Diceros bicornis minor: one gene and its partners. The protein of the gene in region 1 interacts with the protein of each later gene in a pairwise test. Links are inferred from orthologs where the notes say so. Each region holds a gene or a part of one and is shown on either strand. Other genes may lie near its edges. The genes, in order: MORN4, RANBP3, EXOSC8 and HMMR.

Region 1 (6,880 bases):
CCTTCTGTGAAGACTGCGCATGCTCTAGGAGCCAAACCCGGGTCAGACACGCCCTCTGCTTTTACCAGCCCCGCCCCGCCCTTAGCTTCCAATTGCTGACGGGTGTTCGGGAGCCTTCAGTAAAGTAGCCTACTTAATCAGTCATTCCTTTATTGAGTGCCTACTATGACCCAGCTGTGGGACTGGAGAAATCTAATCTTTGTATCTGCATTCATTCAATCAGGCACTCATTCATTAAATATTTATTGAGCACCTACTACGTTCTAAGTGCTGGGGAGACAGAAGTGAAGCAAAGAAATAAAATCCATGCTGTTAAAAAACAAAATTCGACTGAGTAAATTTGAAAGATCGTATTGGCTTTATTCAGTGACTCATGAATGGGGCAGCATCCCATCTAGCAGACAGAAAGGAGCTCTGAGGAGCTGTACAAAATGGAAGGCTTTTAAAGGCAGAAGGGAGCCAGACAAGGAAGTTATACTAGCAAAGAGTGGGTTGGTTGTGGCCAAGTCACCTTCCTTTAGGGATGGCAGGGGTCTATCAGGCAGATTACCTCACTAGTGCTGACCAGGTAATTCCAGACTGACTGGGTTAAGATTCCAGTCAGTTAAGTATTAAGTCTCTGCTTCATGACATGGGGCTTAGCATAACTGACTCCATTTGGGGCCTGTTGTCTTGTTTTTAACACTAACTAAATAAAAAAGTTTTAAAAAACTCCAGCCCTGGTGCAACTTACACAGTGCCTGGCCCAATGCTTATTTGTTAATTGAAGAACGATATGGTCCCATTAGACTAAAAATACCAAGAGGTAAGAGTCCATGATTGTTTTATTCATCACTGTGAAACCTCAGTGTCTAGACACAGTAGGTGCTCAATACATTTTTATTAGCAGCAAAGAGAAGGAAGATATAGTTCCTGCCCTCAAGCTGAAGACACACAGCTCTGTGAGGCAGTAGGAGAAAAAGAGCCAACAATGAGAGCTGAAACCTCCACAAGAGGAGTTTAGTAATTTGGGGGTAGGCCGGAAAGTCAGCAAAGGCCTTAAGTGGGGCATGTGCTATGAGCTAAGTCTTAAAGGAAGAATATAATTAGATCACTGGGGAAAAAGGGGGAGAAAAGAGGGAATCAGAGACATTTAAGTTTGAACCCCGCTCCACACTTATTGTTTTGTATGAGTTAACTCTCTAAGCTTCAGTTTCATCATCTATAAAATGGAAATAATCATCACTTCCTCAATGGATTAAATAAGAATTTAATACATTAAATTCTACATTTACTACATACATTATGTATGTAGAGCACTTAGCATAGCCCTTAGTACATAAAAAGCGTTCAACAAATGGTAGCTTTTTATCACTGCTGAGCTTTTGATTGATACTGGTTTTGCTTTTGTGCTTAAAGTAACCAGCAGACTAAAGGCGTGAGTTTTCACAAAAGATGACCAGCCACATAGTAACCAATATTTCATAATCAGTCTTTCTTGAATCAAATGATTGCCACAGCTAACTAGAAGTACTAAATTGAAAGAACTATTGTTTAATTCTATGTATGGGAACGTCTTAAACTTTTTTTGCCAGGTAAACCATTCTAGACAAAGATCATATAGATGGTTCAATTTCCCCTTTTAGTTACAAGACGTGTATTTCCCCTTCCTATCCAGCATCAAATAATTAAGTAATATTTGCTTCTTGTGTCCCAGGGGCCATAGCCACCGACATGATCTCTTGGTATTATTCATCTCATTTACTCCCTAAGCTTCAAATCATGGTGAAGGAAAGCCCCAAGATTTAGAGTTCTCTCTTGAATTCTGAGTTTTCTGTATGGAAAACCCTCAGAACTTATTTCTGTATCTCCCTCTTGGAACTTGGTTTTCCTTTTACTGAAAAAAAGAGTGTCAATGCATTCCCTGTTACCTATGAAAAGCTAGCCCTTACCAAATGCTAAGCATGTGTCAGGCGTTGTTTTAAGTGCATTACATAGAGTAAGTCATGTAACCAGCATTACAGCCCCTATGACGTTGGAAGCTGAGTAAAGTAACTTGCCTATGGTCATGCAGCTGGTAAGTGGCAGAGCTGGATCCAAACCCAGGCAGACTAGCTCCATGCTTTTAACACTATATTGCTTCTTATTAAATATCTCTGTGAAATGTGTCTCATCTTTACCCCCTTTCTTTCCATCTTCACTGATGCCACATTAGTTTTGAGACTCTCAGAATGTCTTAGCTACATGATTACAATAGTTTCTGAGTTTGTTTCTCTGCTTCCAATATCTCTCTGATTATCTCTGGGTATCACTGCCAGATTAATTTTCTTAAAACACTAATTTCATTGTGTCACTGCTCTGATCAAGAAACTACATTTTTTATTGTGGTAAAATATACATAATATTTATCATTTTAACCATTCATAAGTGTACAATTCAGTAACATTAAATACATTCACAATCTTGTGTAACCATCACCACTATCTATACCCAAAACTTTTTCATCATCCCAACAAAAACTCTGTACCCATTAAACAGTAACTCCCTCTTCCCCTAGCTCCTAGTAACCTGTATTCTACTTTCTGTCTATTAATTTGCCTATTCAAGAAATTAGATTTTGCAAACCATATCTTCTCCCTAATTTTTCAGGTTTTTCCATAATTTGACCACAATCTATGTAACATTACTTCTTCGTATTTTTAAATACACATTCTCCAATCTTATAAGATTTGTTTTCTGGATATTCCATTCTCTCAACTACTGCAATTATATCTATAGTCAATACCACAGAGTTTAGCGTGTTTAACCTTTGAGTGTTAGAGCTAGATTGAATCTTATAGGTCTCCTAGTCCAATCTCATTTTACAAGCTAAAGTGCTTAATAACTTGCTTGAAGCCACACACAGTTGGTGGCAGACACGGGATTTGAACACCGAATCAAAGTCTTTTAAAACAATTTAAAACTACCATTTATTGATAGTTTCAGACACAGTACCAAGCATCTTACGTTGTATTCTCAGACAAGTCCTGAGGAGACTTTATCATCATCATTATTATTATCATCATCATTTCTATCCTACAGATGAGGAAATCCTAATTTAGAGAAGCAATTTGCTTACTCTCTTCACGCACTTGCCTTCTCTTACTAATGAAATATAGTCTTGGATTTTTCCATGTGCATGAATCTTTTCTTCTCCACATTTAGGCAGTAAGTCCCATGAGGGCAGTGATCATGTCTTTTCCAGCCTGGCAGAACCTAGCATCGTACTGCATTCACACTGTTCAGTAAATAAACATATGGATAAACGGATTGGTGTGCATGGTATTTGGGAGGATTTTCTCCAATCTTGGCACTGTATTGTAACTACAAAGGATCTGGGTAATGACAACTACAAGACAAATCCTTACAATGGATGCAAAAGTGTCCTCATATCACAGAGCTGGCACGGGGTGACACTCATTAAACTGCAGTTGCCCCGTCCAGTGTATTACAACGTACAAAGCTGCACCTCAAAAGCCAGGTTCCGGTTCTGTCCTTAAACTCCGCGGTGGTACCGTTTACAGCTGTGGAGACGGGGCAGGATCGGAGCCGCCCGAGGTGGTCACTGTTGCGTCTGACGCAGGTTTGGCTTGGTTTTGTTTGGGGTTGACATTTCGGCTAGCCTGTCTCTGGGTAGGCGACAGCTGAGTTCTCTCTGTCCGGGCGGCGGAGGTGGGGTTCAGCCCCACCCCTCTGTCGGACGTTTGGCCCCGTCTCTCAACACACTCCGCCCCGCACAAAGATGGCGCAGAGCCCGGGCTGGGCCAATGGGGAGTGGCGTTGCTCCCGGTTGCCTAGGTAACAGCCAATAGGCAGCGGGAATTGTGCCCAGTGCGGCTGCCCGGGATGGCGGCGTCAAGCGGAGCAGGCGCTGGTGGAGGTGGCCGAGAGGCAGGTGGCAGGGGCGAGACCGACGGAGCGGAGGTCTGGGCGGCTGGAGCCCCGCGTCGGGGCGTGACGGTCACCCTGAAAGGCCAAGCCCAGGTTGGCTGGCAGCGCGGATGGGAGTGGGCCGGGAGCGTGTGGTCGGATGAAGAAGGGACTGAGGAGCCCAGCCCGAGATGACGGGCTGGGGAGCGCGGCTCCATCCTGGACGCGCTGACCGGAGGGCGGCTGCCCCAGGGGTCGCAAACCCGGGCCTCTCGTCCCCACCGCGGGGGTTGAGGCCCGGGAGAGCCCACGGTACTTGGGTTAGCGAGCGGGGTGGGTGGGGCTGCGTCAGGAGGGGATGGCAGACCTGTGTGAGCAGAAGACCCGGTAGAGGGGAGGAGCGGTGCTGGAAGGCAAGAACCGGGTGGGAGAAGGAATGGGGAGTCGACAGGGAAGTGTTGCCTTGTTGCGTCTAGGGCTTTGTTTGCTCTGGGCCCGGCTCTCTCACACTGTGGTGGAGAGACGTCCCACACGCACATCGAGGCTTGGGGAATGGAATGCCTCAATTATTGATGGTGGCATCCCTGCAGTCTAGCATCAGCAAACTGCTTGGGTACCAGCAGGAGTAAGTCAGCTACGTTAGAACCGGCCAAGGCATTTTCCTTTGCCGTGAAATAGAATAGCATCCTGGCAGTTCCCATCACCTCCAAGTCTTTTTTTCTCTTTCTTCTTTCCTTCTCTTTCTTCCTTCTCTTCCTTCCTTCCATCTTTCCTTCCTTCCTCCCTTCCTTCCTTCCTTCCTCCCTTCTTTTTTCTTTCTTCTTTTTTTACAATCTTTCTGGTGTCAGGATTTCCTTCCCACTTTCTTCAATCTAACCATCTCACAGTCTTCCTAAATAAGACGTTTATCTAGTAGCAATACGTTTGTTTACTTTTAGAGTGGAAGGAAGTAGTAAAAGAGACTTATAGACTTATAATACAGTTGTTTCAAGCTCATTTAAAACCCCTGAAAAAGAACATTTGACTTTTTGTTCTAGATTCCTTACAAGCCTAATCTTGGTTCATCAAAGCCTTCACTTTCTTCTCTTTAGGATTGAAAATCATAAGAACTGCTTTCTTTATAACTGAACAACTTTGACAAGACTGTCATACCCTAGGGAGGGTGGCTTTAGGGGGACAATGTGAAGATGTATATGGATAAAGGTGGCTGCCTCTAAACAATATTCTGTTGAAAACCTATTCTCCTTTATGTTAGTTTTTTTCAAAAACCCTCTGAATTTGGACACAGGTTACTGTGAATGCATGAATATTTCTTAACTAGTTTGATTTCTGAAATTAAAAAAAAGACAAATGGAACAGAAACAAAAGTTCTCATTCCTGTCTCCGAGTTCTACTTGGAAATGTCTGGGGCAGGAAAAAATAAGAAGCAGGGATGTAGTCTGTTGTGCAGACTAATAGTATATTGGTTTACAGGGACAAAATCATCATTTTCTTTTAGATAAACATTTGGATTAATTCTTAGCAACCCGTCTATCAAGAGAGTTGGAAGCGTGGGTATCTGTTTAGAAGCGTGAATCATCTTGGTATTGTAACTAGATTCCATATGTATATCTGAAGCCTAAACTCCTAGGCTATCTCTTCTCTTTAAAACGATTTTTTGAATAACTGATACAAATACTGATTTGCATCCCTTATTAAAGTATTGGGTTTTTCAGTCTTCATCAGTTGTGGCGATACTTTATTGAATTAGATTTGTCTCAGTGACCGTGGTTACTGGTGAAGTTCCTTTTTGGGTCAGTGGCTATGCAGCTGACTATTAATTAGCGTGGCTAACTACAGAAGTCATATGAAAATCCTGACACTGTCCCAGGCAGTGACAGTATCAGTTATTTGGACACATGTAAAAGTTTCTAGTCAAATGTGTTAAACCATGGCCTGAGACCCATGGAGTCTATGTGTGTTCCCTTTAATTAGCAGTTCTGATTGTGTTCTTGGGAATGGACAGCATTTTGACAAGCAACTGTTGAAGGAAGTTTGCTGTGTCTCCCTGGATCAAAAAGGAATGGAAATTTATAGCATGTACTTTTTAAAACAAATGGGAGAGGATGTTCCAGTTACTATTGCTGTGTGACAAATAGCCCCAAACTTAGTTGCTTAAAACAATCATATGATGCTCACAGATTCTGTGAGTCAGGAATTTGGACAGGGCATCATGGGAATGACCTCTCTCTGCTCTATGATACCGCAGATGGGATGCGGGCTCAATGCCTGGGGGCTGCAATCATCTGAGGGCTCCTTTGCCTGGGCTAGGATGATTCAGTGATGAGGAATGCCAACTGGAGCACCAACAAACATGGCTCAGCTTCCTCGCAGCATGGTAGCCTCAGGGTAGTCTGGTTTCTCATGTGGTGGCTCAGGTCTCCAAGCACAAGCCTACCAGGGAGCAAGAGGGAAGTTGCCTCACTTTTTATAATCCAACCTCACAACATACCATTGCTTCCGTTGTGTTCTATTGGTCAAAGCAATCACAAGCCTGCCCAGATTCAAAGGAGAGGTGTGAGACTCTACCTTTTGAAGGGGCAATTGCAATGTCAGATTCTTTGGAAAATGCTATTTGCCACATTTGGTAATAAGATAATCTTTCAAGTTTCATTGACTTCTTTGAAATATTTAGAGTATATTCCCCAAGAGCTAACATCATACCAAAAGAGTAGCTAGGTTCACAATTTGAGGGCTGGCTAGTACTTTGTCCATAGATAATCCTCAGACTGGACAAACACTCTTCCCTTCCTTCAGGGACCGTCTTTTGGTCCCTCTGAAACAAGATGGGATGCCACTATTTGGAAGTTTCAAGTAGCCTTGAGAAAAAGTAAACAGATACAAGAGGCTGCTCCCCGTGAGCCTCTGTGTAGTCAGTCTGACTCCTCAAATTGCAATAACTCCTTCCAAAGCTTTGAGTGAGGATGTTAGTTAACTGCTGTCACACATTTAA
Region 2 (7,261 bases), on another chromosome or scaffold:
AAGGGAGGGGCCTGTTGATGTGCCCTTGTCTTCACATGGACCACGGGCCAATTCAATGCTGTTTGTTCTGCGGCTGAGGCAACCAGCTCAGACACGCTTACCCAAAAGGCAGACACGGAACAAAGAAACGGGCTCCAGAGATCTGGATGTTGGGCGGGAATGGAACGAGGGTCACACCCCGTGCAGGAGCTGGAAGACGAGGGAAGCTGTCCAGCCACGGGGCTCATTCCAGAACCTTTCCAAGCTTCCTGGTGGGTCTAATAAACATGCTTTAGCCCAGCGGTGCCTTGGCTGGAGCTTCAGGCCAGCAGACCGCAGCCGGGCCCAGGGTAAGCACTAAGCCGCCTGCTTTCTGCGGATCAGAGAGAACGTAATCTGGCTGTGGTTTGGCCTTCTTCAAGCTGTCTTCCGAGAGCCAGCAAGTCTGAGAGAGACTTTTTCCTGGTACTGAGTCTTCAACGGCCAGAGCTCTGATGAGACGGAAAGACGATAAGGGCCCTTCATGAGCAACATTTCAGAGAGCCACTATTTATCATCAAGAACGCGTAGCTTTCCATTCCCCGAGGGAAGGAGGAATAAAGAGCAGACCACACGTGACGGATGAGACCTGCTGGGCAACGTTTGCGCGGTTTCAGGACCTCCAGCGTGGTACACAGCAAGATCCAAATTTGTTCCGAGGCAAAAGCAACCAGTCCCGGTTAACCAAGGAAAAATCTCAGCCCGAGAAGCTGGGATGACTTCCAACTGCCTTGACTTATGTCCTAACTGACCTGAAAAACAAAGTCCACTTTGCCTTGAACATGCCCCATCAGTAGACAGCCAATTAACGGGAGCCATTAGCAGCCAGCCAGGGTTTCCTCCACTGAGGGCCCAACGGAGTGAGCCCTGGTTGGCTCAGAGCTGTCACCAAATGAGGTGACGCTGGCGCTGCTGGGACTTCGGATGGAACTGAGGACTCCTACGGTTACGAACACTCAAAGAAAGAGTGCCCGTGTGTCTGTCACATGCACGGCCTTCACCACTATGCCCAACAAGGCTGGCTCTCTCTCATGGTGACCTAACATCTCGAGGTCCCCCCGCCACAACGGCTAGCCTTGCGTTTGCCACTCTGGAGACTGCTTGAATTTCTCGGGATTAGAGCCTGCGCCCCAACGTCTACAAGAATTCAGAAGCCGAGTTCCACCGGCCAGGCCTCGGAAATCAAGGCCCAGACTGGCCACAGGCAGGAGGGGAGGCTCCCAGGGCACTTCCTGCCCAGGCCTCTTGGGGGTGGTGACCCACCCGTCTCACCGAGTGGGCACTGGCAGAGGGCCCGGGGCAGCCTGGGTGCCTCTGGAGGAGCAGCTGCCAGGACACGACCTCTGGGATCTACTCGTGTGTTGCCCTCAGTTGGAGACTCCTCCGTAAGCTGCGCTCTCCACTCGAGGCAGCAGCGCAAGAGCCTCGTGTGCAGATCCTCGTGAAGATCGTCTGTTCTCAGGGAACTGAGAACACGATTTCCTGGGCTCACGATGGCCGAAGACACAGTAACTCATAACGCCCGACTCAGAAGGTTCCAGGAGCTTCTCTGCCCTCCACCAAAAAAGTCATCCCCTCCTAATTCTTGCTCTGCCAGCCCTCCTGTGCTCTCGTGTGAGGGCTGCGCTTCCAGAACACTCTGGTGTCAGCGCCTCCTGGCTGGAATCTTTATTGGGCTTCTGAGACGCTTTGCTCCCCCAACCCACTTCTACACCATGAAAGACTGCCCACCCTGCACCCCGCACATGGTGAGGACTTCCTTCTTTTTCCATCACACACAGATTTCTCCAGAATGCTCAAATGTGACTCCAACCTCACCTTCCTGAACGTCACTTCTTCCTGCGCATCCTGGGGTTTGGTGGCTGCAACTGGATTTTTACGGTTTCCTTAAGAACACAGGGGTCTGTGATGCGACACGAGGAATCGCTGAAGGTGTGGAACTGTGACACCAGGAAGGCTGCCCGGCGCTCGCTATGGCAGAGCGGGGCCTTTTGTTTTCTTGTTAAGAGTCACTGTCCCTATCACGAGAACGGGGGACGCTGTCACTGGGTACCTAGAGGACGGAGTTTGCAGCCCTAACGTAGGAGGATGTTTACCTTTCCCAATTTATCAAACTCCAGAAACTCAAGATACTTCTTGTTCTCGACAGTTCACAACCTTCCCCACCTATCATTCAAAGCCTTCTGAATACAAAGATAAAGGGCTCAAGGGTTCCCTGTGGCTTCCAAGGGAGAGTCTTTTCTCCTTCCTGCTTCCACTGAAGACAAGCAGTTCACAGCCTAACCACAGTCCAAACACAATCGCACCTGCAGAGCCATCTGCCTGAGACATGGCCTCTTCCTACAGGTCAGAGGAGCCGGAGCTTCCCGCGTTTCCAAGACGCTGACCTCGAAGGCTCCAATTCAGGGAGAGGAGTGGAAGGAGCGAGAAGGGGTCGAGTCTGATTTGGAAGGTTCTACCACACTACTCAAGTCCTCTTTTGACCCCTCGTGTCTCTTTCAGGAAACAGGATTAGCTTCTTATACGGGTATATATTCCCCCATTTAGAAAAGTCTTGATGTGAAAAGGGACTTAATCTTCCCAGACCTTTCGGCAGCAGGAATCAGAGGAGATGAAGAGGACCTTGCTGTCTTTTCAGTTACCTTCAGCTGCTTATGATCTCGGGCCTGGCTCTGAGGGACTCGAAGGGAAAAGGGCCATCCGGGTTGGGACCCCCAGGCCGTGGATCCTGGTGGAAATGGACGTACCCCTGCCAGTTCTCGCGGAGAAGGAAGAAGCTGGGCTTCAGGAGCGCGGGCTGAAGCGCTAGCGGGGGCAGGAGGTGCTAGGCCGTGCTCCCCAGCTGACTCGGGGTGACCTGTGCCATGGTGGGGGGCCTCAGCCTCCCCCCTCAAGACTCCTCTCCCAAATCTGACAAGTCTTTTTGCTCTGCAGAGGACTGGGAGCAAAAAAGACAATCTTCCTTCCATGTGGATAAAGGCTGCAGCACGGGGCAGGGAGGGGCGGGGATGAAAGGGCGAGACAGCCCAACCTCAGCGGCTCCTGCCCGGAGCACGGCCAAGCGAGCCCGCATGGGCTCCCGTGCTTTGCTCAACAAAACGGCCCCCCGCACGACAGAGGGAAATGCACGTGGACTTGCTGCCGCTGGGCTCTGCAGGGACCCTGGGGCTCACTTTCAAAACCGCGAGATGGGCCCTGTGGCAGGAGCTATCTGCTGATGGGCCCTGGGGGAGGAAAACCACTCCTGGTGACAAACGGGGATGGAGGATGTCATATGCTCCCTAGGGGTTAATATCCACGTCCTCAGAGACAGGAGGAGGGGAGGTGGCCCTCAGCACTGTCCTGTCCACTAGGACAGGCGGGAAGGTGGCCGGAACACCAGGCAGCCACAAAATGGGGCGTCCAGGCCAAAGGCTTCAGCTCGCCCTAGTTCCTCGAGCACCTTTCAACCTGTTCTGCTGAACCCTGAGATGAAGGAAAGGCTTTCTGCCTCGGTGGGGCAGGTGCGGGGTGACCGGTTCTCCTAGGCTCACCCCAAACGCTCTGGGCAAGGGCTGATTTGGAAAACAGCCAGGGTCAGGAAGCCAGTTCCGGAAGTCTTCATCCTCGAAATTACAACTCCCCCGGCATCCTCTGAGGTGGTTCCTGGGATTCTGGAGGGGCTTCCGCGGGCTGAGAGCTCTGAGGCCAAGACTCTTTTCTTGAGAAACAGGTTATAAGGCTGGTGTCCTGGGACAGATGGGCTCCGGTCCCCAAACCCCCCGCTCAGCATCGTCCACAACAGAGAGCTGTTTCACTCTGTGAACTCAATGACTACGGGGCACCCTGCCTCCCTGCAGACGTGGCTGCGTTTCTTCTGAGTGTAAGTAACTCAAACCTCTTTAGATGGGGCCTGGGGGCTGATTTTTAACGTGTGGGCCTGTCAGATGAAAGGACCTGTATATAGAGGATTTAAGAGGACTTCCAAACATTCTTAGGAAAGCAAAAGCACACAATGTTGACTCATCCACACATCTCAAAAGTCACCCAAATCGACTCCTCCTATCCGGGCAGGGCCCTCCTTCCCAAGCTGTCCCTCAAACCTGCCCGGGACCCCAAGGTCGGTCGGCACACCAGGCTGTGGCTTCTTTACGGCTAGAGATTTAACACTCCACGAGAGGAAATTAAACCCAGAACCCTGTGGGAAAGCGCCTGCCCCTAATTAGAACCACTTGGGGTTTTTTGTTTTTTAATCCCTGTTTTCAGAACATAAATGTTCCAATGCCCCTGTGGCATGGGGGACTCGAAATGAAGCCTAAAGCGGAGGACCAAAAAGAAACACAAGTGCCATTCCAGCATTTTCTACTTGGGTCCAAGTGTTTTTGCTGGACGAGAAAAGTAATCTCTAAAGAACTGAGAGAGCCTGGAGTTTTTCAACAGGTTTGTTAAAGTCCAACACCAAAATTTTGGCAGCCTTTGACATCGAGCTAAAATATATGTGGCTGAGAAAATAGCTATGCACACAGGATACGCTTGTTTCGCCCACAGCAAGCTTCTCAATCAGGTCTAAACACACTACGACAGAGCTTTCAGTGACACCGGCCTTTCTGCTCAACAGCGTTTCTGTAACTGCTGTCTGTCTTGTTACAAATGGGCGTTATCCTGCCAGGGCAGCCTCAAAGCCTTCCCCTTCAGATTTAACAAATGTTTGGAAGATAAAGTAACGGAAAGAAACATTTAGTCATCACAAACAATGAAACAACCTACAGAAGGAGATTCAAGCTCTCTTCACATTAAAAAGAAAAAACTGTCTGTCTCAACGCGAGGCAGTTAAGAAAAAAAGGTTTGATTTCTGCCCCTAAAACACAGATGCAGGTCAACGCAAGTGCTTCACGAAGAGCGCCACCTAGAGGAAGAGTGGGGACGTGGAAAGAAGCAACGACAGTGCCCAGGCGGCCGGTCTGCCTCTGGGGCTGGATTTCAGGCCTTAGGGCTGGAGTTCCCACGGCGAGCGCTCTCTATCACAGGGAACGATGGGAGGATGTGACCGTTCATCCTGAGATGAAGCGATGCCACCGGCGGGCCACTGCCAACAATCTGTGGTTTGATGTGAAAGCAACTCGGACCACCAATGGGATGGCAGAAAACGCTGGGGGGCTTTGCCACCAAATAAAAACAAAACCCTGTCTGGCAGCTTAATTGTTTTCTTTTTAATTTCAAACCTTTTATCTCCATCATGATTTGGTAACGAGAGCTGGGCCTGAGGAGCGCGCTCCTCTGAAGGGGGGACATGGCTCTCTGAAGCGCACTCCACCAGGTGGTTCAGAGACGGGTTACTCAAAGGGAAGTTAATGGTCCCACAGCTGACACCGGGACTTCCTGATCTTTGTGGATCAATTAAAAAATCATTCAAGATGAAAGATTATAGGGGAAAGATCTTTGCGGATCAAGAAATGGCTCAAAAAATAGTTATAAGGGATGTTCTGGTGACAATCGGGACAATTTAAATATGGACTATATACTGAAGGATATTTCCAAATTAATGATCATGTTTTCAGGAGGGACAATGGCACTGGGGCCACGGAGAGGAAAGGCCTCCTCCTAGGGGATGTCTGCGGAGTATTTAGGGGAGAAACGTCAGATGGGCACAACTTACAGCCGAGTGGTTCTAGCACTTTCGATAAAAACGTTCACAGTGAAGCCGGGGGAAGGAGACCCGAGTGTCGCTGCACCATTCTTGTAATTTTTCCGAGGATTTGACAATTTGCAAAATAAAAAGTCGAAGAGAAAAGGGGAGAAAAGTTTGCTCAGAAAAAAAGGAGCACAGCCTGAACAGCCCTTTCCCAACTCAGCGTCTACGGCGTGGAAGGGGCCGGGCTGAAATCTCGGCCCGAGAGAAGGCAAGTGGAAGCCCCAGATTCTCACTGCTGTCGGAAGTACTGTGGCTGCTCCTTGCAGAGCCGTTAAACGGGCAGCAGAGGAGAAAGGAAGCTGGATGTCTGAGCTCCTACTTCCCGCCCTACTTGTGCGCTGTCACAAGCAGCAGAGAAAGAAAGGAAGACTCCACGTCCATCTGGCCACTGTCCACCCGAGAGCTCGGAAAGCAGCCCTAATGGATGGTGATGAAGGCTCCTCCGGCTCTGGAGGGGTTTGCCGCGCCCTTTCGGTGACCTTGTGACAGCAGTGGAGAGCCGTTATTTTTAGAAGCCCATTTAGAGTTGGCTCTGGGTCAATATTTTGATAAGAACTGCACTTGCACATTTTTAAGATGATGGGGAGCGTCTCCCTAGCTACAATTCACCCCATTTGCCATTTATGTAACAGGACTCGACCTTCTAAAGTTAATACACAGAAGGCAGCCTTTGAATGACGAAGCCACAGAAGCACCTCAACTGTGAGAACAGTACTGAAACAGGAATGAGCATTTTCAACTCCACCGAACAAATATTACATTTTAGTGTTTCATCCTGCTGGTTGTCCAAAAGTCTTCAGGTTTAAAGAATTATTAATTCCTATTACTCGTTTTAAATCTGAGGTCAGCAACTTTTTTCTGTAAAGGGCCAGATTCTAAATATTTTCAACTTCGTGGGCCATATGGTCTCGGTCCAAACCACTTCACTCTCTGTTACAGCGTGAGAGCAGCCTTGGCTACTGTGAAGGGGATGGGCATGGCTGTGTGCCAAGAAAACTTGACTTAAAAAAACAGGTGGTAACAGCAGGCTTTAGTTTGCTGACCCGTTTTAAACTAAAAGTGGTTCAAAAGATGATCATGATAAAATTCCAAATTCTACAAAATTCTATTTTACAGAAAACCCGAGAGAAGTGACTTTCACATCTGAAACAGAAATCGAATACATCCATTTCTAGAAGTTAGAGGAATGCACTGCCCCTTCACAGTGACCGAACCTCCGAAGGACACACGATAAAAACACACGTGATTACTCGGCATGTACTGGTCAGCGCCCAGGGAGAGGAGAAGGCAGGGGTCGATGGATCTTGAAAATACCACCTGGAAAACCGAAATGAAACAGAAGAACGTTCCCTTGGGTTCATCAAAAGAATTATCAATGGGAGTGTTGACCATGACGACGAGCCTCGTAGATGAGCCCCGGCTAACACAGAAGGTTCCCTGTGAGGGGGTGTGGGGAGGGCAGCTGTCCCCTCCGGCCCCCTCCACAAAGGCTCTCTTCCTGGCACAGCGCTTAAACGCTGCCAGGGGCGCTGGGCCGCACAGAAAGAGCAGTCTGGCCTGTCTTCTCAGAGC
Region 3 (7,667 bases), on another chromosome or scaffold:
AGACCCATATTTTTTGGCTGAGAGACTCTGGGTAGGTTATTTAATTTCTTACCATTCAACTTCCTCATCTGTAAAATGGGAAATTAACAGAGCCTACTTTTAGGGAATGTTAATGAGATCAAGTGAGATGTAAAGTCCCTAACAACCTGGCAAGGAGTAAGTGCTCAAATCTTATTATTAGGTAACACCTCAGCTTTATGGAGGGAGAATCTTAACTTAGGTTAAGTAAACTCACAGAGTGCAACATACTCAAAAAAGCAACAGGCTTTGGAGTCAGCTATATCTAAGTTCTATTTGTGAGACATGTTCCTGTACACATTACTGAACCTCTGTAAAACAGGAGACAAAGAGATAAATTATATCTCAAATGATTCTTCTGAGGATTAAACTGGATAAATCTGTAAAGCACCTAATACAAGGTGCCTGAAATACAGCAGATACCCAGTAAATAGCAGCTGTTGTCCCCTCAGTAAATAGTAGCTATTGTCCTCTCAGGCTTCTCTTTTGAACAATCTCGATTTTCTACACATTTGCACAGATTAAATGCCATCACGGGACAAAAGGATGTCACCAAAAATCTCTCAATTTCTCAGATGACAAATTTTCTAAAAATTAAAGGTGGTGAGGATTTTTTAAATGGTTTTATTTAGTATTTTGTGAATGTTCATAAATTAAGACTCATTAAACTTGGGTCATATTATCTAATACTCAAAGGTGAAAGCTCTTGGAAAATGAAAACAAATACTAAAAAACTGACACCTGACTGCTTAATCAACAATAGAATTATAGGTGTCTATAATAAGTATATGAAGCTAATTTGGTAACTTAAATCTCAGTAAGACATATATTAAACCTACCGCTTTAATTCCACAAATTACTGTAGTATTTCCCAGCTTCACTAAAGCAGAACCATCGGCAGTACTAATTGAACCTGAAAAGATAAGTATTTAAGCAAAATGAAGACCATAAGAAGTATTTTCGTTTTCTATGATTTTATCTTGCTACACATCTCAGTGGCTTATGAAAATTTATTCCTAGCCTGAGTCTTTTTAAAATGGTATAATTATTTAAAATTATTGTTTTAAGTATTATTCACCTGTCCTTGAATTTGTTAATCATTTTCATTCAGGCACAGGACTGTTATACAGATAAAAATCTCATGACACAAAATCATTGAAATCCCTTAAACATGGTAGAATTTGGCTGAAATACTGTTTAAGTGGCTGAGAGGCTACAACTTGGCAATGTCATACAGGTAAAACTAGAAAATTCAGTGTTTGCAACAGAGGATTTAATAAGTTTAAGACATATAAGAACACCCTGTGTTGGAGATTCTGAAGGAAGGAAGGGGAAAAATAGTTACTTTAAAATTTTAAATAACATATCAATTGAGAGAACAGTGAGTTTAAAGAAAAACTTTACAAACAAAAATTCTTTACTAGTATTAAAAATCAAAGCAACTTCAACATTCTATTAGAATTCAAAATATCCTCACCTATGTTGACAGTTGTGGTTCTGAATTCACCAAGTTCTCTTCCATCAGGACGGCAGTTCTCTTTCTAAATATATTTTTATGAAAGATTACATCTATATTTTACACACACCAAGGAAAACACATTAAACCTCGTTAACTCGAATTAATCTGAATTACTTGAAATTGTTTTTTTAAATTGAGGTATAATTAACATATATTAGTTTCACATGTACAACATGGTTCAACATTTGTATATATGAAAATTGTCTTTAAAAGAAGCATAAGGTATTATCAAAAGGCATAGCATGTACATAACCACCTTTACTCACCAAAAATCTCCTGTAATACTCCAGAGGTTCCACAGTTCTGAAACACGTGTTAAAAATATATCTGAGGTAAGTTAATGAATCTTAACATAAATCCAGAAATTGGCAGTGTGGTGATGCAGCATAAATTTCCACAATTTGTAACTAAGAGTCTTTCATGAATTCTGATGTTTGTGTTGCCACATGTAACTAATTATAAAAAGTAGATAGGCTTGCAGGAGCAATCACACTCGACTGCTGTCCTTAATTCTGCGTTAAACAATTACAGGATTGGAGCCCAAAGTTCTTGTGCATCTTTAAAAGAGGATTAATCCAGGTGTTAAAATAATGATGTCACTCTCGCTCTGAAGCAGGAATTCTTGGTGAACATGAAAAAGAGTTACATCTTTACTTTCACTATCTAAATTACACTGAAATTGAGCATATTCTTCAATTATGACTGTAGGCAATAAACCGTCATATTAGCAGTATTTGCGACTTTAAAAAAATCAGAGATTAAATGTTTTCGTTTTTACTTCATAATTGTCGAAGGTATGTTTAGACTCATTGTTACTTTGAAATTCCAAGAGTTAGTTACTAAACTCCCCACAGATTTTGTTGTTTAAGAAAATCAACTTTAAAACAAGTACCTAAAATACCTGAACTCGCAGTTTATACAGATAACTGTTTCAATATAATTGGTTTCCTTTGAAATCTTATTTCATCCATTTAAAAACTTGCCTCTGAGAACGAAAATCTATAGGCTTCGCCAGAGCGGCACAAAAAAGGTTTAAGTAAAACCTTCCGAACAAGGCATAACCCTTTTAGAGATAAATTACAGGAGAGGAAGAATACGATAGCGTGTGGTTCTGATGCAACACTTTTTAAAAGATTACAACTGTGCCTCCTGGCGCCGCACGTCCACCACACACCAAGCCACAAGCGCTCGCCCCAAGTACCGAACTCGAGGCACAGTCCCTTCCATCCTCCCTTTCGGGGAGAAGCCCCCTTTCCTTTCACTACGACCACCTCCGGTCCTGCCGCCTCTCGCCCGCTTCCGAGGGGGAAAGAAGTGGGAACCTAGTGGGATGCCCTCCAGGTGACAAAATCCCAGCTAAGGGTTAAAGGAAGCCGCGATGCACCAGCGCACAAACTCGCGCCCGCCGGCCACCGACACTCACTTGAACCCGGCCGCCATCTTCCCGCCCGCGTGCCTGCGCCGGCGCCGGCGCCGGGGCGACCCCGCGCTCCGCTCGCGCGCCTGCTCCGCCTCCACACTTTGGACACGGACGCCTGCGCCCTTCTCCCGCTGCAGAGACGCAGGAGGCTGGGGCGCCGCGAGGGGGCGCTCGCACTACGTTCGCTTCCACCGTCCGTAGCCGGACGCCTGTCTGGCTTTCCTTGCCTTAGAGGTGTTTTGGCGAATCTGCTGTTAGTGAAGTGACGAGCGGCTCTCTTTAGAAACAGTCTGGAAGTTCAAGAATTTAAGAGAAAACCGACTAACAGCCAAGAATCTAGTATTGAGTGTGGAGCATTATTCCAATGTTTCTCCGTCCTTTCCCCGCCTCCGGCTCAGACCGGGCCCTGGGCTTGTCTTCTCCCAGGTAAAGGGCTCCCTGCTCCAGCACCGGAGAAGCACGTTCTTTTTCTGTGCGCTCGTATCCGCGCCAGGTTACTCTTTGCAGGTCCCCGGAGCGGGTTCCAAAGGAGCAGCTTGTGTTGAAGGCTGTGTCGTGGCTTACGGCTTCCGCATCCCTCCTTGATAGGGTTGCCAGATAAAATACAGGATATCCAATTAAATTTGAATGTCAGATAAACAAAGTATTTTTTTCTTTTTACTATGAGTACGCCTGGAATAGTGCATGTTACTTTGTTGTTAACAAGGGCTGCGGGGAGCAGGGAAAGTTTTAGAAATAGAGTGGTGATGGCTGCAGGAAATTGTGAATGTAATTAGTACAACTGTATTGTACACTTAAAATGGTTAGAATTTTATATTTTATTTTATCACAGTTTTAAAAAATGTAGTATACCAACACCTTTTAAGTGGATGGGTTGTATGGTATGTGAGTTATATTTTAATAAGGCTGTTAAAAAACAATTAGTTGCTTATCTGAAATTCAAATTAAGTAGACATCCTATATTTTACTTGCTAATTCTGGCAACCCTACTAGGGAAACACAGTGCCTGCCTCTCCACCCTCTGAGCGCCTAGCAGACAAGAACTACTAGGTGTTCTTCGCCTTGCCGCGCGGGGGCGCTGTGGGCGGCGGCTGGTCCCGGTCGGGCCGCGCGGGGGCGCTGTGGGCGGCGGGCGCCCGGCCGGCGCGTCCTCTCTGCGGGCGGGAGGCGGGGCTGCCGGCCGCGCTTCCGCGTGTGTGTAGGTGCTGGATAGGGCGGGCGCGGCGGCCCGGGCATGGAGGATGGTTCCGCTTCTCCTGCAGCTGGCGGTGCTCGGCGCGGCGCTGCTGGCCGCAGCTCTAATACTGGTGAGGAGAGGGGTTGGGGACCGACGCGGGCCTGGGCTCACTGCTCTCCTGGAAACGCGGCCCCCAGGCGTCCTCGCCTCCGCACTGCCCGCTCCTCGTCGTGTCCCTTTTTACCTTGCTTCCCCCGAGCCTGGACCCCAGAATTTCCTCTCCTAGAATTTCACGCCCCCTTTCTTCCGCTCTTTATTTTTATTTTGGAGCTTTATCTCCCTTTGTGCTCAGAGCCTTGTACGCTTGTTCATTTTGGGACGTGCTCGCCCAGTCTTCACTTTCCCCTGGTACCCGGACCCACTGCCCACCCGCCCTGTGTGCCCCGACCTCTCCCGGACTTCTTCCCGGGTCTGCAGCCTCTGCAGGTCTGGCTCCGTCCGGGGAGGTCTTGAGCCCCCAGAAGGTGTGTGTGGTTCAGCAAATAGGAAGTGGTGACAGCACTGACAGCAGCCGTCTGTTACAGGTTGGAATCAGTCGTTGGATGGGGAGACCCCCTACGGACATAGGGAGACCAAAATAGATGAGGCCTGAGGTTACCATATGTCTGGAGGTCTTTATCTCCCAGAACTAAACACCCTAAATTTGCTGCTTCTAAATGAGGCAGTACAATGGAATTCAAACTCGAATTTTCTTTGCCATTACTCTGGAAACACGGAAATACATTGCTGTTCCATAAGTAATAGAAAATTTGCCAAGTGACCTTTCTCCCGTATAATTTGGAATGGGCCTGCCATCTAGTTAGTAAATGGAGAGGTTTCTGCTTCCTTGACATTCAGATTAACAGCCTAAATAACACTCTGCTGTCTTGCCGCAAATATTGTAAACTCACAGCTGGAAACAGTTTCGATAGAGAAAAAGCAGTGTATCTTGCCATCTTTCGTGATTTGTGTCTGAGTGAGAAAGAAGTCCTCTTTCCCTTAGTGGTATATAGAGGTTTCAGGGGTTTTGTGGGGCAGAGTTTGACAAAATCCTACATTGGATCTGCCTCATGTTGAATCTGTTGCACAAATCTAAATGTGTACATTATGAGGTTGTGCTGGAAGTATTTGATCCCACTAGCCTGAAGTGATTATGAGAGCTACCATTTATTGAGTCCTTACAATATGTTGGGTATTCAGTGTTTAACAGGGATTATCTCATTTGATGTTGGAAACAACACTGGCATAAATGTTATCATTAACTTCATTTGACTGGTGAGGAAACAATTTGGAGAGGTGAGCTCATATATGCAAATATCACATAGCTAGGGAAACTTCGTTTTTTAAAAATGCTAGAGCATTTAAATCATTCCCCCTTACCTAAAAAAAACCACAACTAATCTTCTATCTTATATATTCAACCTCCATACATGCTTCCCCCCCCACTTCCTTTGTGAATTATTTTGAAGTAAATCCAAGACATAACATTTTATCTGTAAATCCTCAGCATTTGTCTCTAAAGGTAGGACTCCCTCTTAAAAATAAAACCACAGGGGCCGGCCCGGTGGCGCAAGCGGTTAAGTGCGCGCGCTCCGCTGCGGCGGCCCGGGGTTCGCTGGTTCGGATCCCGGGCGCGCACCGACGCACTGCTTGGCAAGCCATGCTGTGGCGGCGTCCCATATAAAGTGGAGGAAGATGGGCACAGATGTTAGCCCAGGGCCATCTTCCTCAGCAAAAAAAACAGGAGGATTGGCGGATGTTAGCACAGGGCTGATCTCCTCACAAAAAAAAAAAAATAAATAAAACCACAAAAAGGTTGTCACAGATGTTTTTTTAAGTGTAGCCATTATTCAGTGATGTCAAGTATCCGGTCAGTTCAAATGCCTCCTGTGTGTCTTGGTACAGTCAGGCTGTTCCAGTCAGCATTCACACACATAGCACTTGAGCAACATGCCTCTAGTCTCTTAATCGATAACCTCTTCTCTTCTCTTTTTTTCCTTTTCCTTGTCTCCAACAAGTGGTCATTTGTCCTGTGTCATTTCTCACAATTTAAATTTCACTGATTGCATCCCCTTGGTGCCTTTTAACGTCTTACTCTGTCTCCTGAATTTCTTGTAAACTGGTAGTTACATGTAGCGACTTGATCAAATGTGTGTTTGAGTTTTTTAATCAAGAAAAGTGTGTGAGTGATGCTGAATACCTCCTCTTTTATCACATCAGGAGGCGTGTAATGTCTGATTTTCTCTGGTGTTAAGATGGACCCACAGGTTCAGGAGTTGTTAGCCTGACCCACCATTTATCAAGCTTGTTATTAACCTAATGGTTTTAGCAGTCATTGATGATCGTTACCTAAATCCATTATTTCACTGGGAGTTGCAAAGTGAAATATTCTAATTGTATCATTCCTTCGTGTATTACCTGGAATTCTCTAATGAAAAAAAATCTCATCCTTGGCTATTCAGTTACCCTGAAATACCTTTCATATATAAAAGGTAAGATAAAAAAGGCAAGTTTTCAAAATAATGAGATAGTTGCCTGGAATTTTACAAAAGTGACCAATTTTTTATTTTTAGTATCATTGTGAATCCATAATATAAAATATATTTCATATGTTTCAATCCATTGCAGTAATTATTCTTTTTGGTGCTCAAATCCTCCCATCATAGGCCAGTGGGAGCCCCTCACGTTGGCTACTTTGTCCTTTTGGCGTGGCCCTCACAGTCGTGGATACCTTCCTTGCTTTCTGGTCTAACTGTTCTTCCACTGTTGTACATTTCCTGCCCCAGACCTGAATCAGCCGTTCCTCTTAGAAGCACTGGTTGCTTTTAGTGGGAAACTGAATTTGGAAACCACAGTCTGGACACTAGGGGTGCAGAACAGAAACTCTTAACCACTAGTCTGGATACTGTCTCCATGCTCATACTAATCAGAAGCATATTCAATTTCAGTCTGTACCCAATGGAATATTATAAATGGTCATCAAATTACAAATGAGTAGCATTCCAAAAATTTGTAGATTGATTGTTTTGCAAGCAGAAAGTATACCAATAGAAACAATGTTACAAAGAATGGTATTTCTAAAGCTAGCTCCCAAATGAATATGGAAAGGAGCTATATAATGTTAGTAGTGCATGGTGCCTACAGCCTACAAGTTTGATACTTTACTCTAGAAAATACTGTATTCTGAATTCAAATCTGGGATAAGTATCAAGAATATATTCTTAAGCATTAGTGGTTCCTACTATGAGGATTGAGGGAATCTTCCCTTCGTATCCTAAGTCAATCTGGTCCTGGATGGGAGATCTGCCCTCACCCCACACATTCCACTGCAATATGAACTTGTCATCTGTCACATACAGGCTCCAAGTAGGGGTGGGACCTCATTGTGATTGTGCCAGAGTTCAGGCATTCAGGGCATCTAATAGTAGATTGCACTTCTGTAGTGACTGTTCCCTATTAGATCTGGAATGACAGAGGGCTAGGGAATGACAGGT
Region 4 (7,436 bases), on another chromosome or scaffold:
CGTAGAATTCACTGGGGTATGTAAGGTAAAGGCAGACTTAGCAAAAAGCATTAATCTTGGTTAGCACAGGTTTCTCAGACCTCACCAACTATTTACACCCTGGGGTGAATAGTTAGGTGACAGGGGTTTCCCTAAGATCAGGTTAAGGCTGGCACATCTTAGAGTATCTATTTTACTTATTTGGGATTAGAGGTGCGGGGAGGCAGTGGGGAACATATTATATTTTAAAGCAAACAGGAGGCTTCAGAGAAAACTGTCACCACTACTGTTAGTTATGCTGTTTTGGGGAAGTAGGAGCGAAGGGATGCAGAGACAATGGTTATTCTCCTTTGCTCTCTGCTCTTAGGAATGCTTCTGTGGAAAAGCATGGGAAGCAATGCCTTAGACTTGGCAGAGCAGCCAGAAAATAAAATGATACTGAATTCTAGTATTGTAGTTCATCATCAGGTCCACACTCTCAAAAGGGGATAAAGGCCAGCAAAAGATGGGATGGTGGACAGTGACCAAGCATCAAGCAAGCTGACAACAACTAAAACCATACTTAACAGAAACTCTTCCCTAAAGACTCAAGAGTCAAATTTGATAGTTATGGAGATTTAGATTTAAGAAGAACTAGGTTGAAATTCAGGCTGTATACCTATCAACTCTTTGTGAGACTGTGGCACATGCCATTTTCAAGGTCTTTTCCTTAGTAACAATTCAATGTACGACATTATAGATATGACTTGTTAGAAATCTGGGGAGAGGGAACATCAGACAAAAGAAATAGGATATCTTGGGAGATATCGCAAGCTTTCTGGAACAACTTATATCTTGGTCAACAACGACTGGAAGCTAACACAGGCAGCCAACACTTGTATGCAAACAAAACATTTTATGCATTAAAGAAATGCTTCAAACTTCCAGACCTCTTTATTTTCTATTTCTCCCACCTAGAATGGACAGCCCACCTTTCATTTTGCCTAGCTAACTCTCAGTTATCCTTCAGATCGGTCTGGATGTCACCTCTTTGAGTTTTCTCTGAAATCCCAAATCAGGTTAGAAACCTCCCTCCATAGCAGCCTGCACATATTGTTCCTATCATAGAACTTCTTATAGTTTTGTAATGGCTTATAATAATGTACTTATCCATTTCCCACATTAGACAAAACTGCTTGAAGTTGGGGACTGTATTAATTATGTCTGTATCCACAGTATTTAGCTCATGGTTGAGTTTGGCAGTGTGGTGAAGAAAACAGAAGAAAGTCGTTGGGGATGTAGGGATGGGAATAGAGTTTTGTAATCAGCCAGATCAGGGTTCAAATCCAGCTTTGTCTGCCAATCAATAGAGATACTTCTACGCGCCAGGTAATTTGTTCTCATAGGGAGAAGTTGGTAAATAAGACCATTATACTCTCTCCTTTTCCAGTCTAGCTTTAAGACCCTGGAAAGTTATTTCTATTTGAGGCTGATTCTTCATTCAGGAAACAGGAATAAAAAAATAGTGTCTACCTCAGCATGGTCGTTAGGATTACTGGAGTAACATGAGAAATCACTACAGTGCTTCACACATACACCAAGCACATACACACACACACATACACCAAATAAGTGATAACTGTTATTACTCCTGAGACTGTGAGCCTGAAATATTGTGTCATTGGTAAAGCCAGTTTAATTTACTATAAAGCAAAAAGAAAAAAAAAAATCACCTTAAAAGACACACTACTGATGGAACTTAGAGCAGGTTCTTTGACTAGCTGGGAAATAACTAGGTCTTTGAGACTTTTAATTAAAAAACAAGCTTTGGTTGATCCATTGCCCACTTGGCCTTCCTTTGTGAGCAGAGTGATGCTCATTTCTAGCCGCATATCAGCTGATAGAAATTAAAGACGTAATGAATGACTGTTAAAAAGTGTATACTAGAATGGATAAATCATGGCCTTTAATGTTCAGCTCTACCACTTACTGGCTGCTCAGTACAGTTACAAAACCCCTAAACCTCATCTGTAAAATGAGGACAATATTAGTCTCTTCCTCACCTGGCTGTTGGAAAAAATAAACCAGATCTAGAAGGGAAGAACTTAGCACAGTCCCTGCATATAGTTAGCATCTAATTAATGATGAGTGCCTTACTAACCACATCCAGTCTTCCTGGTTACTGTGCTTATGCATTGCAGTGGTTAAGAGCACAGGATACACGCGCACCCAGTTTCACGCCTCAGTTCTGCCAGTTTGGTTGGTTAATATTGAGCAATTCTAAGTCTCAGTCTTTTTATCAATAAAATAATGAATAATAGGATTACCTCTCAGGGATGTTGGGGAATTTAAAAAGGACTAATAATCAATGTCAAGACAGTATGGTGCCTGGGGTACCATCAATAGTAGCTGCCACTACTTAAATTATAGTGTTTTCGGTAAATGCTACTGCTTTAATTTTACACCCATAAACTACCTGTACCAGTCTTCCTTCTTTCATGTCCGAATGGACTATCCAAAAGAAATAAACAAGTTCAGACGAAAAGCAATGGTCAAAAGTTTTTTTTATCAGTGAGGCCTTCCGGATTTGACCATCAAATAGCTACCAACGCTTCGTGGCCCCTTTCCTTTCCCTCTGGTTTAGTTTCTCCACAGCACTACTTGTTTACTGGCTGTATTCTAAACTGAAGGTAGGCTCCATGGGGCAGGGACTTTGCTTCGCTCACTGCTCTATCCTTATCATCCTAAATTGTGCTTGGCATGTACTAAACGCTTAGTACCTATTCCAGAAAAATGAATCAATTTAATGAGCCCCATCCCAGCTCTAAAATCGCCTCCAATATGCCTATGATGAAGGGAACACCGAGAGGGGCAAGGGGCGTGGGATCGTCTCCCGTCCCCCAGCTCCTTTCCCCGTACGCACCGGAAGGGTCATTGAATCGTTTCAGGGGCGCCTTAGGAAAGGACATGCTGACGACCAGCTCCACAGACCGAAGGTGACTAGCGTTCCTCGCCAACTTCCTGCGGCTTATTACGGACTTAATCGCTTCAAATTCAAATCTCGCCGCTCATTCCCCGCCCATCCCGACGTTAGCCAATTGGAAAACCAAAACCCTGGGCACACCAATCCAGGACGGGAACATCCAAAGAGCGAGCGCACTCCGCTCTCGCCGAGTCCTATCAGATAGCCCGTGAGTTTAGGCTACCAGCCAATAGGAGACTACTTCTGTCGTGTTTCCCCCGCCTCCCGCCGCGCGTCCAATCGCTCCTGGCTTTATTCAATTGTAACTTACGCGCTTAGCAGCATTTGCGCAAGCGCACTTCATACCTGAGAAGTTTTCACGTTTGAATTTGGCGTCATATAGGTGACAGTGCACTGAGTTCCAGCTTAAGTGGTTCTAACCCTCTCTCACCCTTCTTTGAATGTAATCTTTTCTGGGTTTCAGTTCTTTCAAACTGGGGCCTTCCCAGTTTGGCCTAAAAGGCCATTGAAAGGGAAAAACGAACATACAGGCTGACTTCAGCTCACATCCCTGCGCATGTGCAGTGCCCCGAGCGGCGAGGCCGGGGCGTGGCCTGACCGTGAAGATTTCGCGCATGCGCTCAGCTCGCACGGCGCGGCTGCAGCTAGGAGGCAACCGAAGTATGTCGGTCCCGTTTGAGGAACGCAGCGGGGTGGTTCCGTGCGGAACGCCGTGGGGCCAGTGGTACCAGACCTTGGAGGAGGTGTTCATTGAAGTTCAGGTGCCGCCAGGGACTCGCGCCCAGGATATCCAGTGCGGCCTGCAGAGCCGGCATGTGGCTCTGGCCGTGGGTGGCCGCGAGATCCTCAAGGTAGCGGCAGCTCGGGGCTTGTGCTGTTTCTTCCCCGGCTCGCTGAATCCCCGAGTGCTAAAATTCATGGTTTTCGTGGAAAGACTTGGAAAGCCTTACGGCTCCTGTGAGTGGCCGAAAGAGAGAAAATTGGCTTGGTTTTGATCTGGTTAGAGCCCCCACCCTCAGGGCCAGTCCTCAGTTGACCTGGAAATTTGCGGAGCCGATTTTTCTGGCTTTATTTCTAAACCAGATGAAGCTGCTGCTTTTGTTCCTCTGGGGGTCTTTAGCTGAGAACAACTTAACTAGGTCGTTAAAGGAACAAATTTTATCGTACATATACTTTCTTCCAGGCACTGATCTAGGTGCGCGAGACAGATAAGGTTCCTGTACTTGCAGAGGTTATATTCTTGTAGAGAGGCATAATTAAACTAATACATATTTAGGCAGTTATGGGAAAGTAAAGAAGAAAATTAAGGATATCGGGATGAAGATTGCAGAGATGATGTCAGGTGATTTTCTCATCTAAAATTAGAAAAATTCTGCGTATTCGTGGAGCAGTTAAGCATGTGGTCAAGATGTGTGTGAAGAAAATAATTAATACCACTTTGGTTCTCACCAGTGCCCTTTGGCTCTGGGACCCGTTTTGTCCTTGTTAAGCTTTATAGTTAAATTCAATTAAGTTGAAGTTAGATATCTTGCTCGGATTAGATGCCCAAGATGTTGGAGGACAGTATAGTGGTGAAGGGAGACTACTTGGTAGGAGATCTGGCTCTGCCGTTTTTTTAGTTTTGTAACCTTGGGCAAGAGATTATTCAGTGTCTCTAATCCTTCATCCACAAAGTGCGGTAATTATAGTACCTTTCTCAGGATTGTTGTGGGCATAACATGGTATCCATGTGAATGAAGAGCTGGGAGTAGTGCCAGGTACTTAATACGTGAACACTGTATGTTAGCTATTATTATTTTATATGGAAGTGCTTTGCCTCCTGCAAAAGGAAGAGTCGTATGAAAGACTGATTTATGTCAACTTGGATCTTAATGATCTTTCTGAATATTTGAGCATTTCATAGTTTCCTGAACAGTGGTTCAAGATTACACCTCACATTTACTTTAGTAATTCCAATAACTTTGGAAATTTAGCATTAACTCTAACTCTAGGATTATAGGTGTACATTTAGACCAGTAAGATTTTTTTTTCACTAGTATTGACATATGAAAAAATGAGTATTCTTTTTTTATGTGACATTTTAATTTCATTTCCTAAAACTTAAATTTGGCAAGTAGCAACAAATCAAAATGGATTCGAGCAGATGGATTGTCTTTTAAACTTATATTTTGCTTTTTTTTAATTAAAAAAATTTTTTTTGCTTATTTCTTTCTTAAGAGATTCTGAAAAATCAGTCACAACTAATCTGACATCATATCTGCAGTATGTGCTTTAAAATTTTTTAAATGCCAAATTGCCTGACAAAGAGATTAAACCAGTTTTTAAAAATTTATTTTGAAAGACATCCTTTCTTCTTAATTTCAGTAGGAGAGCTCTTGTAGTTCATTTTATTTCATTTTATTTTTTATTTATTTTTTTGTGAGGAAGATCGGCCCTCAGCTAACATCTGCCAATCCTCTTGTTTTTTTTTTTTTTTTTTTTTTTTTTGCTGAGGAAGACTGGCCCTGGGCTAACATCCTGCCCATCTTCCTCTACTTTATATGGGACGCCGCCACAGCATGGCGTGCTGTGGTGCGTCGGTGCGCGCCCAGGATCCTAACTGGCAAACCCTGCACCGCTGCAGCAGAGCGCGCGCACTTAACCACTTGCGCCATCGGGCCAGCCCCTGTAGTTCATTTTAATTGGTAAAGTTAAAGTATTTCAGATATTAATTTCACATTTGGCTAATCAGTGATCAGTAATATTTCTTTATCTTCTAAAAATTAAGAAGTCCTGATCTTTTTTTAGAGAGCCCTGTGTTCTTTGTCATAGTAAATATTCCAAGCATTGTAAACTAGGTTCCATTTCACTTGCTAGGAGGAAACTTAGAGTTGAACACCTATCAATGTGTTAAAATGGTACGAAATTTGATCTCTCTGTTCTAACCAAATTAGAAAATTATATGTGGATTAGATAGGAAATTAGGTAAGTCTTAAATCATGAGAGCTTTATAAAAATTAATGAAATGACTGTATTTTTAGTGCTTTATATGTTTATTTTTCAGGGCAAACTCTTTGATTCTACAATAGCTGATGAGGCAACATGGACTTTGGGTAAGGGTAATTTATTGTAATTCTTAGAATCTTTTTAAAAATTAATTTAGTCTTAGAACTTAGTATGTTTCCCCTATCGTATTAGGTCCTTTGTCTTTGCAGCTTTGGAAGATATAATAATAGAAGTGTACTGAAAACAATTGTATGTCAAGAATACATCATGGTTTTTGAAAATAAAAAATTTAATGATGAACTTTAATTTTTTTGTGATTTTTGTTTGTTCAGAAGACAGAAAAATGGTCCGTATTGTTCTTACAAAGACAAAGAGAGATGCAGCAAATTGTTGGACTTCTCTTCTAGAATCTGAATATGCAGCTGATCCTTGGGTGCAAGACCAAATGCAGAGAAAACTTACATTGGAGAGATTCCAGAAAGAAGTAAGTCAGATGAATGTGTGACTATGTATAGTTAAACATCTTAAAATCATAGAATAGTTATTATTTGAAATTAAAACTCAAATGTTATAAAAATTATGAAAAATATTTAGAGTAATGTTTTTTTTTCTTTTGTGAGGAAGATCAGCCCTGAGCTAACATCCATGCCAATCCTCCTCTTTTTGCTGAGGAAGACCGGCCCTGAGCTAACATCTGTTGCCAATCCGCCTCCTTTTTTTTTTCCCCTTTCCCCCCCAAAGCCCCAGTAAGTAGTTGTATGTCATAGTTGCACATCCCTCTAGTTGCTGTATGTGGGATGCGGCCTCAGCGTGGCTGGACAAGCGGTGCGTCGGTGCGTGCCAGGATCTGAACCCTGGCTGCCAGTAGTGGAGCTCGAACACTTAACTGCTAAGCCACGGGGCCGGCCCCTAGAGTAATTTTTTAAGTTAAGTGGTTAGAAAAATGATTGGCCTTTCTCTGTATGGATTTGATTTTTAATTTTCTTTAGAGGGATTTATTTGTACTGCCATGATTTTTAAGTTTAAATTGGTATGTTGTATACCAGTAATACATGAACAAACTCATAAAAATTCAATCAATATAGACTTACATAGTTTAAAAAAGTGAAGGGTGCCTTTATCAACATTTCCCCATTCCATGCCTTTGTCTCTTTCTCATCTCATCAGTATATTAGCTTGCTTGTTTTGTTTTTAACATAAATGGTCACACTTCGTGTATTTTTCTTGTTGCTTTTTCATTTAATAAATTGTCTTGGGTCTCTTTTCCTACTAGTACATATAGATAAAACTTATTCTTTTTAACTGCTTCAGAATGTTTTCTAGTTTGAATGTATCATAATTATTTATTTAGATATTCCCCTTTGATAGGATTTAGATTTCCCCATTTGTGTCTATTTCAAAGTGTGTGCTTTCATTTCTGTGAAACTATTCAAACGTTCTTTTAAGATAGATAGATAGGAGAAGAATTACTGGATCAAAGCACTGTTCAAGTTTTGATGGATAATTTCCA

What was found.
Region 2: the proteins of MORN4 (region 1) and RANBP3 interact in a two-hybrid assay, tested with the Homo sapiens proteins (2 studies listed by BioGRID). The two-hybrid records come from large-scale screens. The link is inferred for Diceros bicornis minor from reciprocal best matches to the Homo sapiens genes MORN4 and RANBP3.
Region 3: the proteins of MORN4 (region 1) and EXOSC8 interact in binary tests that used the Homo sapiens proteins (3 or more experiments, as listed by UniProt). The two-hybrid records come from large-scale screens. The link is inferred for Diceros bicornis minor from reciprocal best matches to the Homo sapiens genes MORN4 and EXOSC8.
Region 4: the proteins of MORN4 (region 1) and HMMR interact in binary tests that used the Homo sapiens proteins (3 or more experiments, as listed by UniProt). The two-hybrid records come from large-scale screens. The link is inferred for Diceros bicornis minor from reciprocal best matches to the Homo sapiens genes MORN4 and HMMR.

What each region holds. Positions count from the first base shown.
Region 1 is NC_080745.1:63,377,929-63,384,808, reverse strand, and holds the start of MORN4 (MORN repeat-containing protein 4), read left to right. Parts: upstream 1-3,864; 5' UTR 3,865-4,002; intron 4,003-6,880. UniProt on the Homo sapiens protein: Plays a role in promoting axonal degeneration following neuronal injury by toxic insult or trauma.
Region 2 is NW_026691615.1:2,332,845-2,340,105, reverse strand, and holds the start of RANBP3 (ran-binding protein 3), read right to left. Parts: upstream 3,003-7,261; 5' UTR 2,988-3,002; coding exon 2,766-2,987; intron 1-2,765. UniProt on the Homo sapiens protein: Acts as a cofactor for XPO1/CRM1-mediated nuclear export, perhaps as export complex scaffolding protein. Bound to XPO1/CRM1, stabilizes the XPO1/CRM1-cargo interaction. In the absence of Ran-bound GTP prevents binding of XPO1/CRM1 to the nuclear pore complex.
Region 3 is NC_080748.1:19,384,456-19,392,122, reverse strand, and holds the start of EXOSC8 (exosome complex component RRP43), read right to left. Parts: upstream 3,021-7,667; 5' UTR 2,978-3,020; coding exon 2,961-2,977; intron 1,841-2,960; coding exon 1,804-1,840; intron 1,560-1,803; coding exon 1,496-1,559; intron 932-1,495; coding exon 858-931; intron 1-857. Other genes in the region: ALG5 (dolichyl-phosphate beta-glucosyltransferase), read left to right, coding at 4,199-4,264. UniProt on the Homo sapiens protein: Non-catalytic component of the RNA exosome complex which has 3'->5' exoribonuclease activity and participates in a multitude of cellular RNA processing and degradation events.
Region 4 is NC_080740.1:78,364,112-78,371,547, reverse strand, and holds the start of HMMR (hyaluronan mediated motility receptor), read right to left. Parts: upstream 3,015-7,436; 5' UTR 2,928-3,014; coding exon 2,882-2,927; intron 1-2,881. Other genes in the region: NUDCD2 (nudC domain-containing protein 2), read left to right, coding at 3,604-3,792, 5,985-6,033, 6,259-6,410. UniProt on the Homo sapiens protein: Receptor for hyaluronic acid (HA). Involved in cell motility. When hyaluronan binds to HMMR, the phosphorylation of a number of proteins, including PTK2/FAK1 occurs.